Linked DNA regions of Callithrix jacchus. The protein of the gene in region 1 purifies or fractionates together with the protein of each later gene. This does not show direct contact. Links are inferred from orthologs where the notes say so. Each region holds a gene or a part of one and is shown in the gene's direction. Other genes may lie near its edges. The genes, in order: TGFBR2, PSMD14, ENG, SMURF2 and SMAD7.

Evidence for each region.
Region 2: the proteins of TGFBR2 (region 1) and PSMD14 purify together in Homo sapiens (affinity purification with western blotting; 3 studies listed by BioGRID, with this or other methods). This does not show direct contact. The link is inferred for Callithrix jacchus from reciprocal best matches to the Homo sapiens genes TGFBR2 and PSMD14.
Region 3: the proteins of TGFBR2 (region 1) and ENG purify together in Homo sapiens (affinity purification with western blotting; 3 studies listed by BioGRID). This does not show direct contact. The link is inferred for Callithrix jacchus from reciprocal best matches to the Homo sapiens genes TGFBR2 and ENG.
Region 4: the proteins of TGFBR2 (region 1) and SMURF2 purify together in Homo sapiens (affinity purification with western blotting; 3 studies listed by BioGRID). This does not show direct contact. The link is inferred for Callithrix jacchus from reciprocal best matches to the Homo sapiens genes TGFBR2 and SMURF2.
Region 5: the proteins of TGFBR2 (region 1) and SMAD7 purify together in Homo sapiens (affinity purification with western blotting; 3 studies listed by BioGRID). This does not show direct contact. The link is inferred for Callithrix jacchus from reciprocal best matches to the Homo sapiens genes TGFBR2 and SMAD7.

The regions. Positions count from the first base shown.
Region 1 is NC_133518.1:68,878,746-68,882,262, forward strand, and holds part of TGFBR2 (TGF-beta receptor type-2), read left to right. Parts: intron 1-773; coding exon 774-964; intron 965-3,517. UniProt on the Homo sapiens protein: Transmembrane serine/threonine kinase forming with the TGF-beta type I serine/threonine kinase receptor, TGFBR1, the non-promiscuous receptor for the TGF-beta cytokines TGFB1, TGFB2 and TGFB3.
Region 2 is NC_133507.1:68,442,666-68,446,182, reverse strand, and holds part of PSMD14 (26S proteasome non-ATPase regulatory subunit 14), read left to right. Parts: intron 1-2,663; coding exon 2,664-2,735; intron 2,736-2,953; coding exon 2,954-3,073; intron 3,074-3,517.
Region 3 is NC_133502.1:176,480,106-176,484,081, reverse strand, and holds the start of ENG (endoglin), read left to right. Parts: upstream 1-1,171; 5' UTR 1,172-1,528; coding exon 1,529-1,595; intron 1,596-3,976. UniProt on the Homo sapiens protein: Vascular endothelium glycoprotein that plays an important role in the regulation of angiogenesis. Required for normal structure and integrity of adult vasculature. Regulates the migration of vascular endothelial cells.
Region 4 is NC_133506.1:89,826,449-89,829,965, reverse strand, and holds part of SMURF2 (E3 ubiquitin-protein ligase SMURF2), read left to right. Parts: intron 1-1,252; coding exon 1,253-1,367; intron 1,368-2,965; coding exon 2,966-3,144; intron 3,145-3,517. UniProt on the Homo sapiens protein: E3 ubiquitin-protein ligase which accepts ubiquitin from an E2 ubiquitin-conjugating enzyme in the form of a thioester and then directly transfers the ubiquitin to targeted substrates.
Region 5 is NC_133514.1:92,026,010-92,029,320, reverse strand, and holds the end of SMAD7 (mothers against decapentaplegic homolog 7), read left to right. Parts: intron 1-735; coding exon 736-1,274; 3' UTR 1,275-2,809; downstream 2,810-3,311. UniProt on the Homo sapiens protein: Antagonist of signaling by TGF-beta (transforming growth factor) type 1 receptor superfamily members; has been shown to inhibit TGF-beta (Transforming growth factor) and activin signaling by associating with their receptors thus preventing SMAD2 access.

The DNA.
Region 1 (3,517 bases):
GAGCCCTGGGCTGAATTAGTCTTCAAATATATGCTAGGAAGGGATACTAAATGTAAAAGTAGTTAATGACAGCATAAAATATTTCATTGAGCTGTGAGTGAAGAACACCCTGAAATCCTTTCCCTTTTTTTTTTTCCTGATTGCGCCTTTCTGTAATTTGGGAAAGACTGCAGTTCTTTATCTGGGATGGTTCTTCCCATTTTTCTCAGCAGAACCAGCTGTTGACAAGGAGTATGCCCTTCATACACAATGCTCTGAGGCCCAGCAAACAAAAAAAGAGGAACTGTGACTATCTCCCCAGGCACGCTCTTTGAACACAGTTTAGCTAGACAGGACAGAGTTTGCCAGTTCAACTGAGGGTGTGATGTGAGCTTTGCATAACATTCAGGATGGAAGATTTAAAACGATCCTGAGTACCTAGGAATGTTCTTTTTTCCCATGCCTTCTCCTTTAATGATTTAATTCAGACTTAAATATGTAAAATTCTCCAGCAGGACTGCCCCCATGGAACACTGTCTGCTCCATGTGATGTTTATAACCACAAATGGGTTCCGAGAATAAACAAAGGAAAAACAGAAAAAAGTAGAAAAGCACAGGAGACCAGAGGACAGCCTGCGAATGCTGGAGAACAGGAATCAGGGGCCTTTGTTAGGGAACAACTTTGTGAAGGAAAAGTAGTCCAGATTGCCTTCCTGTATGGAGGCCATAGTATTCATTTATTCTCCTCCTCTCTCTCCCTCTTCCCTCACCCTCAATGAATCTCTGCACTCTAGGAGAAAGAATGACGAGAACATAACACTAGAGACTGTTTGCCATGACCCCAGGCTCCCCTACCATGACTTTATTCTGGAAGATGCTGCTTCTCCAAAGTGCATTATGAAGGAAAAAAAAAAGCCTGGCGAGACTTTCTTCATGTGTTCCTGTAGCTCTGAAGAGTGCAATGACAACATCATCTTCTCAGAAGGTGAGTTTTCTCCTCAGAAGGGACTGGGCCTGACATCTGTGCCAGTTTTTTGCACTGTTGATCTGAAGTGTCACGGACCAAGTTCCTCCTGTGGTGGATTCTGTACAGTGGATTACGAGCCCGTTCCGCTGGTGGGAAGAGGGGCTTAGGGAGGAGCAAGGTTTGTACTGGATCCGATCAAATCTAGTTGACTGGGGCAAACATTATTATTTGTCTTTGACAAATAGTTTCTTTCACCTAGAGCAGTGGTTCTCAAAGTGCAGCCCCTTGAGCAGCCAGCATGAGAATCACCTGGGGACCTGTTATAAATGCAGATTCTCAGGCCCCACTAAATCAGCAACACAGCGGGTGAATCCCAGCTATCTGTATTTTAACAAGCCCTCCTAGTAGTTCTGTGCAGCTAAAATTTGATGACCATTATTCTAGAGATTTGGATGGGGTTGTTTAATCCTGGAGGAGGACTTGCTTTATAACTGAAGCTGTTTCTTGTACATCGTCCCAGGTAGGGTACTGGTCATTGATCCCATTTGAGAGAAACATTGAAATACAGAGAGGAAATAATAAGTCAAAGTTTACCCTTGGAGCCAGGAAAAGAGTAGATTAGATACTAGCCTTCATCTTTGAAGTTCAGGGTTCACTCAGCTTGAAAGGAAGGCACACACTCTTCCCTCAATTTTTAATAAGAGAAGTGACGTTCAGTGGTTGGTTTTTAATTACAAATTAGTATATGTTCTTTATCAGAAATTCCAAACAATCCAACAGTGTGTGAAAATTAAAAATGAAAGTACATTTCCCTCATCCCCTCACTCCCAGTGCAACAGATTATCTGTATTGACAATGGACTGGACGCACACACTGAATGACAGTATCTCTGTCATTCATTCATATCTCCCACTCCCAAACACTCCCTGTCTTCCTTTCTCCTTCCCTCCTTTCATCCTTCTGTCCATCTTTTATCTGTCCCATCCACTCATCCATCTTTCACTCCAACTGTTTTATCATATTGTAAATGTTATATTGCAACACTTTTTACACCCAACCACTTTTACAGTTCTTTCTAAACAAGATGGAACACATAGTTATACTGTACATCTTTCAATTTCAGTCTAGAATTTCATATTATCTTCCGTGATGGATCTAATCATGACCCTGTGCATGGATTATTTTTGTATCGTCAGTTTTTCCACTTCGTGCTACATTAAATATCTTTATCTCATGTATTTGTGCTAATATTTCTGCAAAACAGATTGCTAGAAGTGAAATCTCTGGTTTAGAAATATGTGCATTTTAAATTTGAATAAACACTACTAAACTATTCTCCTCCCAAAAAATATGTAAACACATGGATTTTCATGTGCCTTCTCCAACACTGGGGATGGATACATCTTTTAATTTTACCATCGTGGTAGTGTAAATAAATATTAATAGTACTCTTTTGGCTCTAGGAATGTAAATTCAGGGAAGCGAAAGGTTAGTTTAGTCAACAATGGGTCTGATTTAATTAAAAAATCTTTTTGGAACACAAGTGCTGGCTCTACACCCTATCTCTGCTGCCACGTGTGTTCCACCTCCGAGAAGGGATGTGTCCTCGTGTTTCGTGTTTGGTGCTCAGCAGCACTGCACATCCAGCTTGTTCTCTTCCTGTGTCCTTCACCTACTGCCATTCTCCCTCTTCCTGTCCAGCTCCCCCTAGGCCAACTTCTCAGTGAACTGAAGGCAGGCACACCTTGTCAGGGCAACACTTTCCAGATCACTCTTCCTTCCTATGTTCCCTTCCTACAAATGGTCCATTTCTCTCATTTTCTTTCTTTCTTTCTCTCTTTCTTTCTTTCTCTCTCTCTCTCTCTCTTTCTTTCTTTCTTTCTTTTTCCTTTCTCTCTCTCTCTCTCTCTCTCTCTTTCTTTCTTTCTTTCTTTCTTTTTTAGATGGTGTCTCGCTCTTTCACCAGGCTGGAGTGCCATGGTGCAATCTTGACTCACTGCAACCTCTGCCTCCCAGGTTTAAGCAATTCTCCTGCATCAGCCTCCTGAGTAGCTGGGATTACAGGCATGTGCCACCACGCCCAGCTAATTTTTGTATTTTTAGAAGAGAGGTGGTTTTACCATGTTGGTCAGGCTGGTCTCAAACTCCTGACCTCAGGTGATCCACCCACCTTGGTCTCCCAAAGTGCTGGGATTAGAGGCGTAAGCCACTGTGCCCGGCCTCATTTTCTTTATGTGATTTGAATTAGGAGGGAGATCCAAATGATTAAATCATACTAAACATAGTAATACCCGATATTCTGACTTAACCACATCAGCTTTCTTCAAGTAGTTCACCTTTTAAAAGAAGGCCTAGGCTAAGCCAAAGGAATTAATCTGTAACACTAGAATACCCAGGCACATTTACTAGCACTGAAGAAACTTTTCCCTCCTTATGTATAGTGGCTTGTCTACAGTAGACACGTTTATTTTATTCAAAAGGACAAAAATTGATAAATGGCCTGCAAGTTGGATCTATATTTTAGTATTGAATTTCTTTGTAAAAACATCTCATACATTTTCTATTTTACCA
Region 2 (3,517 bases), on another chromosome or scaffold:
TCTGCTAAAATACAAAAAATCAGCCTGGCGTGGCGGCATGCATCTGTAATCCCAGCTACTCAGGAGGCTGGAACAGGAGAGTTGTTTGAACCTGGGAGGGGTGAGTTGCAGTGAGCCAAGATTGCACCGTTGCCCTCCAGGCTGGGGACAGAGCGAAACTCTTGTCTAAAGAAAAAACAACAACAAAAAACCCAGCCCTCATACAATAAACAGCTGCATGGTTTTCTCTTAGTACATGGCTTTCTTGTTAGTATGTTTATTAATCAGAAGAAAGGCCACTTACATGTGGCTTGCTCCCTCTCATGGTAACTGGTTGGTATTTTTCTTTTCTGTTCCATTGACTTGCAGTACCTTAATTTATTCATTCATTCTTTCAATCGGTATTTATTAAGTTCTTACTATGCCCCAGGCACTTTTCTAGGTACTGGTTATATATAAAATATCGAACAAAATAGTGTTTCTTCCTTCTTTGGTGGCAGAAATAGTTTCTGGATTCTGTCAGTAACGCATTTTGGTGATGGTGTGATGTTTTATTTCCCTTTTTTCTAAAAAAAATATTTTTGGGCAAGTTGAGAAAGGCTGTATTAAAGCTACAGTCAGGATACCAGTTTAACTTCTTTCTCCATATGCAATGTTTAAGGTTGCTGTGGATCCAGGAATAATTTTATGAATACAGTGTTCATTAACCTATTTTTCTAGTTTTATTTTGTTTTAAACTGACAAATAATTATATATATTGGTGGGGGGTGATGCTGTGATAAATGAGTATGGTGTGGAATGATCAAGTAAGGCTAATATCCTTCACCTTAATAGTTATCATTTCTTTGTGCTAAGAACATTTGAAGTCCTCTTTTAGCTATTTTGAAATATACATTATTATTAACAGTAGTCACCAGACTATGCAATAGATCATCAGAACCAATTCCTTCTGTTTAACTGAAGCCTTATCATTATCCTAACATTTTAAGATTACAACTACTTCCCCCAAACCTCTCATCATAACTAATTTACTATTTTCCTCACCTTTTTCTTAATCGTTTTTAACTTTCTAATCTTTTTTTCTTTCTTTTCTTAAAAGGGCTGGAGAGCACCCGCGGGTCTCGAACCACACAGAGTGGTTGTTTTTAACCATAGAAAGCATTGTCGAAGTAACCGCTGAGCTAAAGCCAGCCCCAATCTTTTTTAACTTTCTAAGTGAAATGAGTAAAATTATCATATCACTAAAATTAGGTTTATGTGGTGATCAGCAAGATGCTTTGGCCTGATATTTCTTTAATTTACTTTAGCAGTTTTCCTTCTGAAAGAAATCTTAGCTATTTGAAAAATAAGCAATAAAACTGCATTAGGTAATAATAGATGAAGAATTTGGTCAGTTTCCAACATTATTTCTTGGCATTTAAAATAAAAATTAAATTTAAGGGGCTTGATTTTTTTTTCCCTCCACTTTGAACAAAAATAAAAGCAAATTTATTTAGAGAAAATTTATTCTAGAATCTTTTATACCATGCTTCCAGTAAATATTATTAACTTTTAAAACAATACAAAGTAATAGAATTTAACACACATACACACACACACACACACACACACACACACACAGAGACCTATAAGTATGGAATGTAAAGTGATTGTTAATTTCAGTATATAAAAGCATAAATTGGAGAGAGAACATGGCTTACAATGTGGATAAGGTTGTTTACCTAATTTGTAATAGAGTTATTGTCAGGGAAAGCAAACTTTAAGCAGAACGGGACCTGGCAATTATAAGTCATATCTCATAATTTTTCAGATTGTCCAGTATTAAAAAACAAGAAGCTTCCTTTGTGCACTAAATGTGGGGCAGAATCGCATTTATAAGATTGTAGGCATCTTGAGGGAAAGAACTGTATGTCAGTTACCTTGTGCAGCTGAATGTTATAGTCAAGAGAAGTTTGCTTCCTTTCAGGAAGAAGATAGAATCCTTAAAGGAGAAACATAGTGTTTTCCTTAGCCTGTAATAAGATTGGTAGTAATAGTTGTTTTAAAGATAGTGGTCAGGGTTTTGGAAGTATTTGCACGTCAGCTATACCTGTCTCAACTGGTTTGTTCACACCTGGGGCAATTGTGTTAAATTTGTTGTATAGGGGGAGGGGAACAGCTTCATTAGGTGACGGGCAGAGGATGTTGTTCACAGCTCTTTCACCCAGGGATTAGAAGTCTTCTTTCCCCTTCTCTTCCACTGTAGCAATGAATCTACAGAGGAATTCCATAGCCTTAATCTGTTAATACATGCTATCTTTACTTGAAAATCAAGAAGCTCAGAGAATTTGCTATTTGTGTTGATACTTTACTTAATTGTGCTAGTCCAACTGCATTTCACATACACACACTGGTGGTAACAAATGTGACTAATTGGTACATTACAGCCAAGGCAGATTGGCATTGCTGAAAGACTTAAACTTTATGTCCGTTATGCCCTTGGCAGAGATTATTAAGTTTTATCTGTTTTCTACAGGTTTGGTATTTGCAAATGTGTTTTGATTATGTTGTGGCCAAATAAAATGATACTTGACATGTTCTTCAGAACTCTTTTAAAACAATCAAGTTTATACCACATGTAGGTTGAATTTTAAACTCATAAACTCTCTGTGTGTGTTTATAATAATTGATGTATTTGTTTCTAGGGGCCACCTACAGATGCTCCTGCAGTGGACACAGCAGAACAAGTCTATATCTCTTCCCTGGCACTGTTAAAAGTAAGTAATCAATGTACTTACTTGCTTTAGAGAACTCTGTTGCTTTCATTGTATCTTTTACTTTGGAATAGTTGTCCACCTTAATCCTCTTGGTTTAGGTACATTTATAAAAGAAGTTTTTAATTTTCACTGGAACAAAATTTGATTTTTGTTTTATAAAGAGGAACCAGAGACCTCAAAGAAATTTGCTTTGTGTCCACATCTCTTCCTCTCTACAGATGTTAAAACATGGTCGTGCTGGAGTTCCAATGGAAGTTATGGGTTTGATGCTTGGAGAATTTGTTGATGATTATACCGTCAGAGTGATTGATGTGTTTGCTATGCCACAGTCAGGAACAGTGAGTACTTTTATGGTTGCCTGCTGTAACTAAATGTGTTTCTTTTCATTTTTCTTTTCCTATGCAGACTAACTCTCATCGTATTATATTTTCTCTTTCTAATAGGAAAAATTAATTATAAGATTGATAGAAATTTTTTGATTGTGTTGAATTAAATCATTATTCTTTAGAATGAAGCATAACTTCTGGTCTGCAAACTGAATGATACTTAATGCTAAATTTATTTTCTCATTCCTTCAGCAGTTTAAGGCATAAAATACTGGACTTAAAAGTTAGTTACCCTATAATAGCAGAGTGTTAGTTTGATTAATTTGAACATTTGATTCAAAAGGTTTGAGATTCTCTTATTTAGATTTTCATTCATATAACACTAGTTCTTACCACTTTTTCCATTGTTTTGAAATATGACATTTAAAAAATGTTCTATATATGGGGATGAATGAC
Region 3 (3,976 bases), on another chromosome or scaffold:
GGGAGCACCGACGGGGAAGTGTCTCCTGTATGTCCCAGGGCTCAGTGCTGTAGTGTCCTGACCCTCAGAAATCTCAACAGCTTGGCCAGGAAGGCTCCATCGTGCCCTACTTTGCAAGCGGGAGGGCGGGGGGGAGGGGTCTTGCCCAAGGTCTCATGGGTCAGAGTAAGCAGAGCAGGATTTGAACCCAGAGCCATCTGACTTCAGAAGTGCCATTAAAGTCCCCATCATTTGGAGCTGTCTTTTTCTTCCTCTTTTGAGACAGTCTCACTCTCTGTCACCCAGGCTGGAGTACAGTGGTCTGATCTTGGCTCACTGCAATCTTCGCCTCCTGGGTTCAAGTGATTCTCCAGCCTCAGCCTCCCAAGTAGCTGGGACTACAGGCATGTGCCAGCATGCCCAGCTAATTTTTGTATTTTTAGTAGAGACAGGCTTTCACCATGTTGGCCAGGCTGGTCTCGAACTTCTGACCTCAAGTGAACCATCTGCCTTGGCCTACCAAAGTGCCGGGATTACATGCATGAGCCACTGCACCCAACCTGGAGCTGTCTTTTGTCCATGAAGGCTTTTCCACCCATGAAGGCATCAGACATGAAGTATGTGGCCCTGGGCAGCTTCTCTAAGCCCAGAGACCCTGGCCCTAGCCACCTTGCTATGCCACTTTGGGACTTCCCTCCCTAGCCTGAGCCTCAGTCTTCCTGCCTGCTGGGCAGCCCTGTGTCAACTGCACTTAGTAGGCTGGGTTTGGTGCCTGAGAGACGTGAGGTGGTGGAGGTAGGCAGGCTCCCAGCACTGCCATCTTCTTGGACCAGTGATCTCAACACATCGGGTCTCTGTTTCCTCATCTGCAAAATGGGATCACTGAGCACGTAGGGTCATGAATTCCACAGAAACTACTTTAGCCAAGCCCAGCCCCCTGAAAGGGCTCCTCGGTAGGCTGTTAGGGGCTGCCTGATGCATCCCCACCCACCCGCCTTGGAGAGGGTGGGATGGGAGGGTGGGGTGCTTGGGGAGACAAGCCTAGAGCCTGGGTCCTCCCTCCCACCCAACTGCCTCCCCCCCATCCAACTGCCTCCCCCCATCCCAGGGCCCCCCACCCAGCAACAAAGCCTGTGGCACTTCCTCTACCCGCCTGGCAGGCAGCCTAGCCCAGCCCCTTCTCTAAGGAAGCGCATTTCCTGCCTCCCTGGGCCGGGCTGGATGAGCTGGGAGCTCCCTGCTGCTGGTCATAGCCCAGCTTCCATCTGCGCCCAGCCAGGACTGCTGCCGTCACTGCCATCCACTGGAGCCCAGCACCCCATCCCCGCCCATTCGTCAGACAGCGACCCCGGCCCAGCCCCACATCCCTGTGTCTACTTCTCCTGACCCCTTGGCCGCCACCTCAGAAGGCTGGAGCAGGGACGCCGTCGCTCCAGCTGCCTGCTCCCTTCGGGTCCCCGCGCGAGCCCACGCCGGCCCCGGCACCCACCTGCAGCCCTGCCCCTGGACACCGGATAAGGCACAGCGCACAGGCCCCGGCGTGGACAGCATGGACCGTGGCACACTCCCTCTGGTCGTCATCATGCTGCTGGCCAGCTGCAGCCTCAGCTTTGCAAGTAGGTGTCCAGGGACCCGGGATGGGGAGACTCAGCCTCCGGTGCACAGACCAGGCCCCAAGTGTACCCGGCCTCCTTCCTATATCCTGAGCTCACGCCCAGCAGGGCCATCCTTGGGGGTTTGGAGGGTCACCAACCCTCCCGGTTTGCTGAAACTAAAGGGTTATGCAGGACTTTGGGTGTTGAAAGCCTTGGGCAAACTGGGCTGACTCATTCACTTTAACCCTAGCCTCTGGCGTCTGTTCTCCCAGCTGTGTTCCATTACTGGAAACCCAGATCCCAGAATGCTGTGCAGCCCCGGGAGAGTTTCCTGCCCTCTCTGGGCCTCGAGTTTTCCAAGGAGGAATGGGTGAGAAGGAGGGCCCACAGCCTGGGCTCTGAGTGCTGACTCTGGGTTCAAATCTCACGTAGGGTCTTCCTCGTGGTGTGATCTCGGGAACTGCCTTCGGGCCTCTGAGTAAAGTGGGGATAACAGACTTCCTTCCCTCTCAGAGCTGCTGAGAAGGTTGGTGGTAAAGGATCACTGCAGAGAGGGCTCTGGCAGGCTGCTCACTTCTGTGTTGTTTATTTTTAGCTTTAAGTTCCTCCAGTTTACCTCCCAGGGCCTTTGAACAGGCCAAGGCTGCAGGGCCCGCCCTTCCTCCCTCCCGGCTCCCTGATCACCAGGATGGGTTCAGGAGGGGGTGCTGGCCAGGTTAGGCATGCTGGCCAGGTTAGGGGTTCTGTGGGACTCCTCGGGCTGGGGACTCTTCCAAGGGGTCATGGCCTCTGCTACTTTCTGAAACTGACCAGAGGAGGGGCAGCAAGGAGCCAGGGACCCTCACCCCCATGTTCCACTCCCGACCCCTCGGGCATCTCAAGCCGCTGACCGGTCCTGTGGACAACCCTTGACCCACCTGTGCATGCAGGGGCTTCCTGAGGGATCTGGGGGAAAAGGGGCAAAAGTGAGCTAACAGTGTGGGGAGAAGGGGGAAGGAAAATGGCAGTGGGGCAGCCACCTTCTCCCCACCTCCACACTCCACGGCATTTTAGAGTCCCTGATTCTGGGTCTCTGAAGCTCTTCCCACCACCTGATTGATAGGAAACTGAGTTTCAGACACAGTAAGTGACTTAGCAGGGATTTGACTCCCCGCCCGCAGCTCCCCAAACGTTTGCTGCTAGCAAGGTGTGATAGGGCAACCCCTCTTAATACGGCTCACAAGGACCCTGCAAGATGGCTGCGGCCATCATCCCCATTTTACAGAAGAGAAAATGGAGATTCTGACTTGCCAAGTTCACACGGCTGAGACAGAGCCCCGGCCTCAGCTCTAGGATCTGCCTCCTTGGCTGTCCAGGCTTCCCTCTCCCTCTCCCTTGTTTCTTGCCGTGGTCACACTCTCTTCCTCTTGGTCGTTAGAGAAAGGTCCTTGCAGACGTTTAGGGCCTGGTTTTAAAGGATCAAAGGCAGTGGTGTGCTGGTAAATAATTACCAACAGGGTGGGGGGCTCAATTTGTGGATAGCGTTTGTGGATTTCCACAGCATATGTACTCCCACTCGGCTGACTAAAAGCCACCAACTCCCCAAGCTCAGAGCTGGGAATCAATGCCCAGTAGCACCCGGTGGTTGGTTCTCCAGGGTCTCTGCAGGGGCAGATCATGTTGGGAGTAGAGGTGACAGTCGGGGGCGTAAAACAGGAATAAATAAATTTGGACATTCAGGATTTTTTAAAAAAATAGATAGTAATAGCCATGTAACAGCCAGTTGGAAAAACTCCTGGAAATGTATCAGTCTGGTCCTGTGAGTGGGTAGGAGCTGGTCCTGGTGCACCAAGGGTCACAGGCTCAACGGTACAACAGGTCATCAGCCCAATTCATTTGTGGTCTGGGAAGCTGAGGCCCATGGAGGGCAGAGGGGAACCTGGGGCCAGGGCCTGGAACCCAGAGGTCCCTGCTGGGGGTGGGGGTAGGAGTGACCCTGACATCCAAGAAATGGGTCTGGAATTCCTGAATGTAACTTGTTACCCTCACAACTCAACCTTCAGAAGTCAGCCTTCTACAGTGACTTGTCCAGCTCTGTAAAGATGTGTGATCTGTGGGTGCATGTAACAAAAACCCGATAACTAACTGGAAATGATCTAAACGTCCACGAGCAAAGACTGTTAATAAATTACCAAGGCCGGGCGCGGTGGCTCACGCCTGTAATCCCAGCACTGTGGGAGGCCGAGGGGGGTGGATCACGAGGTCAAGAGATCCAGACAATCCTAGCCAACATGGTGAAACCCCGTCTCTACTAAAAATACAAAAATTAGCTGGGCATGGTGGCACGCACCTGTAGTCCCAGCCACTTGGGAGGCTGAGGCAGGAGAATTGCTTGAACCCAGGAGGCGGAGGTTGCAGTGAGC
Region 4 (3,517 bases), on another chromosome or scaffold:
GTCTGTAATTGCAGCTGCTCGGGAGGCCGAGTCAGCAGAATCGCTTGAACCAGGGAGGTTGCAGTGAGCTGAAATTGCGCCACTGCACTCCAACCTGGTGACAGAGCAAGACTCTGTCTCAAAACAAAAACAAAAACAAACTACAACAAAATATACCCTTGTCCAAAATTAAGAGTAAATCAATACTATAGTATATGTCTATATAGTATCGTGGTATAACTCTGCCATGATAGTGGATCTGGATAGTACAGATTATGTAGACACTTTGTTTTTGAGACACGGTCTCACTCTGTCACCCAGGTTGGGTGCAGTGGTGCAATATCAGCTCATTGCAGGCTCGACCTCCGGGTCTCAAGCAATCCTCCCACCTCAGCCTCCGAAGTAGCTGGGACTATAGGCATATGCCACCAGCCTGGCTAATTTTTGTATTTTTTGTAGCGATGGGGTTTCGCCTTGTTGCCCAGGCTGGTCACAAACTCCTGAGCTCAAGCGAACCACCCGTCTTGGCATCCCATGGTGCTAGGATCACAGGTGTGAGCCATTGCCTCCAGCTTCACACAGACATTTTGAAATAAAACCATATTTTTCCTTTTGTTTTGTTTATTATGGATTACAAATTTATTTGGCAATTAAAAGTAACAGACCAGGCTGGGCGAGGTGGCTCATGCCTATAATCCCAGCACCAGGCCAAGGCAGGTGGATCACCTGATGTCAGGAGTTCGAGACCAGCCTGGCTAATATGGTGAAACCCTGTTTCTACTAAAAATACAAAAAATTAGCTGGGTGTGATGGCGTGCTCCTGTAATACCAGCTACTCAGGAGGCTGAGGCAGGAGAATTGCTTGAACCTGGGAGGTAGAGGTTGCAGTGAGCCGAGATCACACCATTGCACTCCAGCTTGGGCAACAAGAGGGAACCTTTGTCTCAAAAAAAAAGGAAAAAGTAACAGATCACCAGACTATATCATCTTGTGAGTAGTTGAACTGATGGATAATACTGTTATACTCTGACTAAAATATAATAAAATTGCTTAAATTTTGAGTGAGATGTTACTTCAGTGTAATGAAGTAGAGTTTTTATTTGCTGTTTGGGCATGGTAGATTTTTCCCAATGTGGTCTTATATAACTGTACTTAGTGCTTTTTTGCCTTTTATGATTAAAAAAATTATTTCTAAAATGATTAATTAATGGCCTATCTTAACAGAAATATATACATTATCAAAAAAATTCCATGATCATATCTTGTTTTCTAGGGAATGGTTGTATCTCTTGTCACATGAAATGTTGAATCCATACTATGGCCTCTTCCAATATTCAAGAGATGATATCTATACATTGCAGATCAATCCTGACTCTGCTGTTAATCCGGTATGATTTGTTGTTATGATGATGTGAATTAAGTTATGACCTATAATGCTTTTCATCTTTACATGTTAACATAGTTTATTATTTAGAAATTTTTGTCCTTGTCCTAGTTGTACCCTTTGACTCAGCAACTCCTCTTCTACAAAGTTTTCCCAAGCAGATGATTATGGATGTATGCTACAGTTTGGAAACAGGGATGTTTACTGTTTATAGTAGCCCCCAACTGAAAACAACACACTTGTCTTCAAGAGGGGAGACTGATTAAATTATGACATGAAGCAGAATAATGCAAGTGATTAAAGTCGTAGATTCTGGAATTAGAAAGACATGTCATCGTCTCATCACTTACTAGCTTTGTGACCTGTCAGGGCAAGTTCATGGACGTAAGCTTCAATTTTGTCATTGCTAATACATACGTTTGTACCTGGGAGAGGGGTTATGAGAATTAGATGGGACGCTGTACATTAAGCATTTAGCACAGTGCTGTATGTTATTAACTCCACAACTCTATCGACTACATTATTAAGCACTCAACAGAAGTTAGCAGTTATTACTAATGTACTGTTTTTTTGTATTATTTTGTCTTTCCATACAAGGGCATACTAAACAGTCACTAAAATAATAATGTGAGATAATAGTTAATGATATGGAAAGATGGTGTTTATGATGTAAGTGAAAAGAAGGTTATGAAATAGTTTAATGCAACTTTGGTAAATTGTGTGTGTGTGTGTGTGTGTGTGTGTGTTTAAAAAAGAAAAACTTTTTAAGATAAAAAGGTTTAAAGAGGAGCTTAAAAGATTACTTAGTAAATGGGTAAAATAATTTAAAAATACAAACATCTAACAAAACAATCTGTGACGACTGACCAATATATGCAAACAGGGTAGAAATGTTAGATTTCTTTCAGAAAATTATTTAGGGAGGATTTTGAGGTGAAGGTTGCTTGGAGGGCCCACTGCTGCCACTGCAGTGATGATAGCCCACACTCATTGAGTGCTTACCTATGCCAGGTCCAGTTGCATGGGTTTCAAACATCACCTTTTACTCCTCATAGAGATGCTTTTTTAGATGGATACTGTTATTCTATTTCCAGATGTGGACAGTTAGTCCTACAGGAGTTAATTTGTCCATATGCCAGTGACTAGTAGAATCATGATTCTAATCCAAGTCTGACACCAAATCTGTGCTCTTAAATCTATGGTGTTTTGATATTTAATTTCTTGTTAGGCCAAGGAAGTAGGGAGGTTAAGGATTGAAAGATTTTTTTCATAGCAAGGGCTCAGCAGGAGGTGAGAGAAGGAAGAGAAAAGGATCTCCAAGTAGCCGAATGAAGCGCTGGGGGACCATAGTTTGGACTTAATTTCTAAAAGATAAAATTGACAGAATGACTGTGAGAAGGGCCTATTACCCTGTGTAATATGTTGTTCTCTGGTGATCTAGAGACTCCTGAGCATGCCCTAGAGAAATACTCCCTCCTGGCTATATTGAAGAGTACAGATTTGATGCTTACTCTCAAAATATTAATGTTGAAATATTTCATTTTTATTAAAATTTTCCTGAGTAATTTCTGACTCAAGTATATATGCTCTTTTCAATTTCAGGAACATTTATCCTATTTCCACTTTGTTGGACGAATAATGGGGATGGCTGTGTTTCATGGACATTATATTGATGGTGGTTTCACATTGCCTTTTTATAAGCAGTTGCTTGGGAAGTCAATTACTTTGGATGACATGGAGTTAGTAGATCCAGATCTTCATAACAGTTTAGTGTGGATACTGTATGTATTGGGTCTTCTATCGCTTCATTATAGTTAAACTCTGAGCTTTTTTTAAAAAAAAATGTTTCAAAACTGATGTACTTAAAAAAATGACCATACACAGAAAATATTGAGTGGTTATCTGAGTGATGGGATCACATAAGATTTCCCCCTTTCTGTAGCTTCTTTATGCATTTCAAATTCCTTAAACTTAGCAAGTTTACTACGTTCTACGTTAAAAAGGAAAAAAAACTAGTATATTCTATTTTTAAAAGTACTTTATATAATGATTTCCTCAATGTGAGGCAAATCCTGTTCCAAACCTGCATGTGTTAGAATAGCAAATTCTTGCTGCCATTGCTTTTAATGAAGTGGTGATTGTTGGAACCATACT
Region 5 (3,311 bases), on another chromosome or scaffold:
AGACACATACTCTTCTGTCTGGGCTGGAGGAGGCTTTGTTAGGGTAGCCGGGATAATACCAGTCTCAGGTTGTGATTTGGCATTTTGACACAAATTCACTGTTGTATACAGGGCCGCTGTGGACAAAAATATAGATGTTTTTGTCCCAAGTCACCCTCATTATTATTTTTACCAGATAGAGAGGTCCCTCATGACCACAGCACTGATTTGGGAGCTGGGTGACAGGCACCCAGAGACCGTTGCATAGGTGGCCCCAGGGTCTGGACACCTAGGTTCTTGCTCTGGCCATGTTGTCCCTGGTTCTCCAGCAGCAGGCTTTCTGGGTCCTGGTTTTCTCATCAGGATGACACGGGGCTGGAGGAGCTGGCCTTCCAAGGTTCCATCCAATAGAAAGACCTGTAACTCCAGGATGTGGCTGAGGCTTTTTGCAGCCCTAAAACCGGACCACCCAAGTTAAGAGGCTTGGTTGGCCAGGTGGGCACGGTGCTGGTGTATTCCTGATGGGCAGGGGCCTGCAGAGAAGCAGCACCCAGAGCTTCCTATGCTTAAAGAAAGGCAGGTCCTGGTCAAAGGGCTGAAGGAGCCTGGGCAAGTCCAGGACCCTCCTCACTGCCACCTTCCTTCTGTCCTGTCCTGAGAAATGAGCTTGTGATGGGGGTGTGTATATGTGTGTCTTTATTCTAGGACTCACCCATGCCTGTCCCTACCAACCCTCTCTGCCATTGTGTTTTCTAGATTCCCAACTTCTTCTGGAGCCTGGGGATCGGTCACACTGGTGCGTGGTGGCATACTGGGAGGAGAAGACGCGAGTGGGGAGGCTCTACTGTGTCCAGGAGCCCTCTCTGGATATCTTCTATGATCTACCTCAGGGGAATGGCTTTTGCCTCGGACAGCTCAATTCAGACAACAAGAGTCAGCTGGTGCAGAAGGTGCGGAGCAAGATCGGCTGCGGCATCCAGCTGACGCGGGAGGTGGACGGCGTGTGGGTGTACAACCGCAGCAGCTACCCCATCTTCATCAAGTCCGCCACACTGGACAACCCGGACTCCAGGACGCTGTTGGTTCACAAGGTGTTCCCCGGTTTCTCCATCAAGGCTTTCGACTACGAGAAGGCGTACAGCCTGCAGCGGCCCAATGACCACGAGTTCATGCAGCAGCCGTGGACGGGCTTCACCGTGCAGATCAGCTTTGTGAAGGGCTGGGGCCAGTGCTACACCCGCCAGTTCATCAGCAGCTGCCCGTGCTGGCTGGAGGTCATCTTCAACAGCCGGTAGCCGCGTGCAGAGGGGACAGAGCGTGCGCTGAGCAGGCCACACTTCAAACTACTTTGCTGCTAATATTTTCCTCCCGAGTGCTTGCTTTTCATGCAAACTCTTTGGTATTTTTTTTGTTGTTTGTTGGTTGGTTGGTTTTCTTCTTCTCGTCCTCGTTTGTGTTCTGTTTTGTTTCATTCTTTGAGAAATAGCTTATGAAAAGAACTGTTGGGGGCTTTTTTTTTGGAAGGGGGCTGGGTATGATCGGCAGGACACCCTGCTAGGAAGAGGGGAAGCAGAAATCCAAGCACCACAAAACACAGTATATGAAGGGGGCGGTCATCATTTCATTTGTCAGGAGTGTGTGTGTGAGTGTGAGTGTGTGGCTGTGAGTGTGTGCACGCGTGTGCGGGAGCCACAGATGGGGAGGCGACGTGCTCTTTGTTTTGTGTCTCTGACGGGTGTCCCCAAGCAAAGAGGTTTGCAGCCCCATGTGGTATCTCTCGTGTCCCTTGGACATGGTCAATGGGGCCGAGGCAGTACCTGGGCAAACTGGCAGCTGGGGGTCCCCACAGCTGCCAGGAGCATGGCTCTGTCCCCAGCCTGGGAAAGCCCCCGCCCTTCCTCTCCCACCTCTAGGACACGGGCCTGTCCACAGGCTTCTGAGCAGCAAGCCTGCTAGTGGCTGAACCAGAACCAATTGTTTTTATCCTTGTCTTAATTCCCCTCCCGCCAGCCCCTGCCATTGTAGTGTCTTTCTTTTTTTGGCCACCTGCTCCTGGATCTCTCTGAGATGGGCTTCCCGAGGGCTGCCGGGGCAGCCCCTCACAGTATTGCTCACCCAGTGCCCTCTCCCCTTATCAGCCTCTTCCCTGCCTGCCCTGGTGACATCAGGTTTTTCCTGGTCTTAGAAAACCAACTCAGCACTCCCTGCTCTGAGCCTGGGTGTTGAGCTCTGCTATTAGACCAGCAAGGGGGGACGTCCCTGGGAGGGACATGCTTAGCAGTCCCCTTCCCTCTAAGAAGGATTTGGTCCGTCATAACCCAAGGTACCATCCTAGGCTGACACCTGACTCTTCTTTCATTTCTTCTACAACTCATACACTCGTATGATACTTTGACACTGTTCTTAGCTCAATGAGCATGTTTAGACTTTAACATAAGCTATTTTTCTAACTACAAAGGTTTAAATGAACAAGAGAAGCATTCTCATTGGAAATTTAGCATTGTAGTGCTTTGAGAGAGAAAGGACTCCTGAAAAAAAAAAAACCCTGAGATTTATTAAAGAAAAAAATGTATTTTATGTTATATATAAATATATTATTACTTGTAAATATAAAGACGTTTTATAAGCATCATTATTTATGTATTGTGCAATGTGTATAAACAAGAAAAAGAAAAGATGCACTTTGCTTTAATATAAATGCAAATAACAAATGCCAAATTAAAAAAGATAAACACAAAATTGGTGTTTTTTTCTATGGGTGTTATCACCTAGCAGAATGTTTTTCTAAAGGAGTTTATGTTCCATTAAATGATTTTTAAAATGTACACTTGATACCATGTTGTCTTCCAACTCCTTTTTCTTCTGCTGCTTGGAGGGAGCGGGAGGAGTATTCATCCCAGTTCCGTTGAGTTGGCGTCTTCCCAGCCCCGCTCTTGGAGGAGGGGGAGACATGGGCCCCAAAAGAGAGAGACGTAGAACAGCCCTAGTCTTCAAGTGCTGGAAAGACCTGCAGCTACCAAGACCTCGCTCCCTCCCTCCTGTGTCTTGAATTTGTAATGGGGAACAACCTACCGGAACCCTGTGGGTGATAATTCAAAAGCTTGTAGGATCGAGGAAAGGGAATTACATCTCGGGTGATTGGAAGACCGGATTAGGGGATGGATGGATGGGGAAAGTTAGCCCCAAGAATCTGGATCCCTCTGGTTCTTGCCAACAACCCGCTTGGCGATAATCCCAAACCTACTGTAACTCTGCCAGATTTAATTCCAGGAGGAGTTTCCTGGGGTGAGGCCCTGGAGGGGTGATGAAAGTCGGGGTTGAATGTCAGTGGT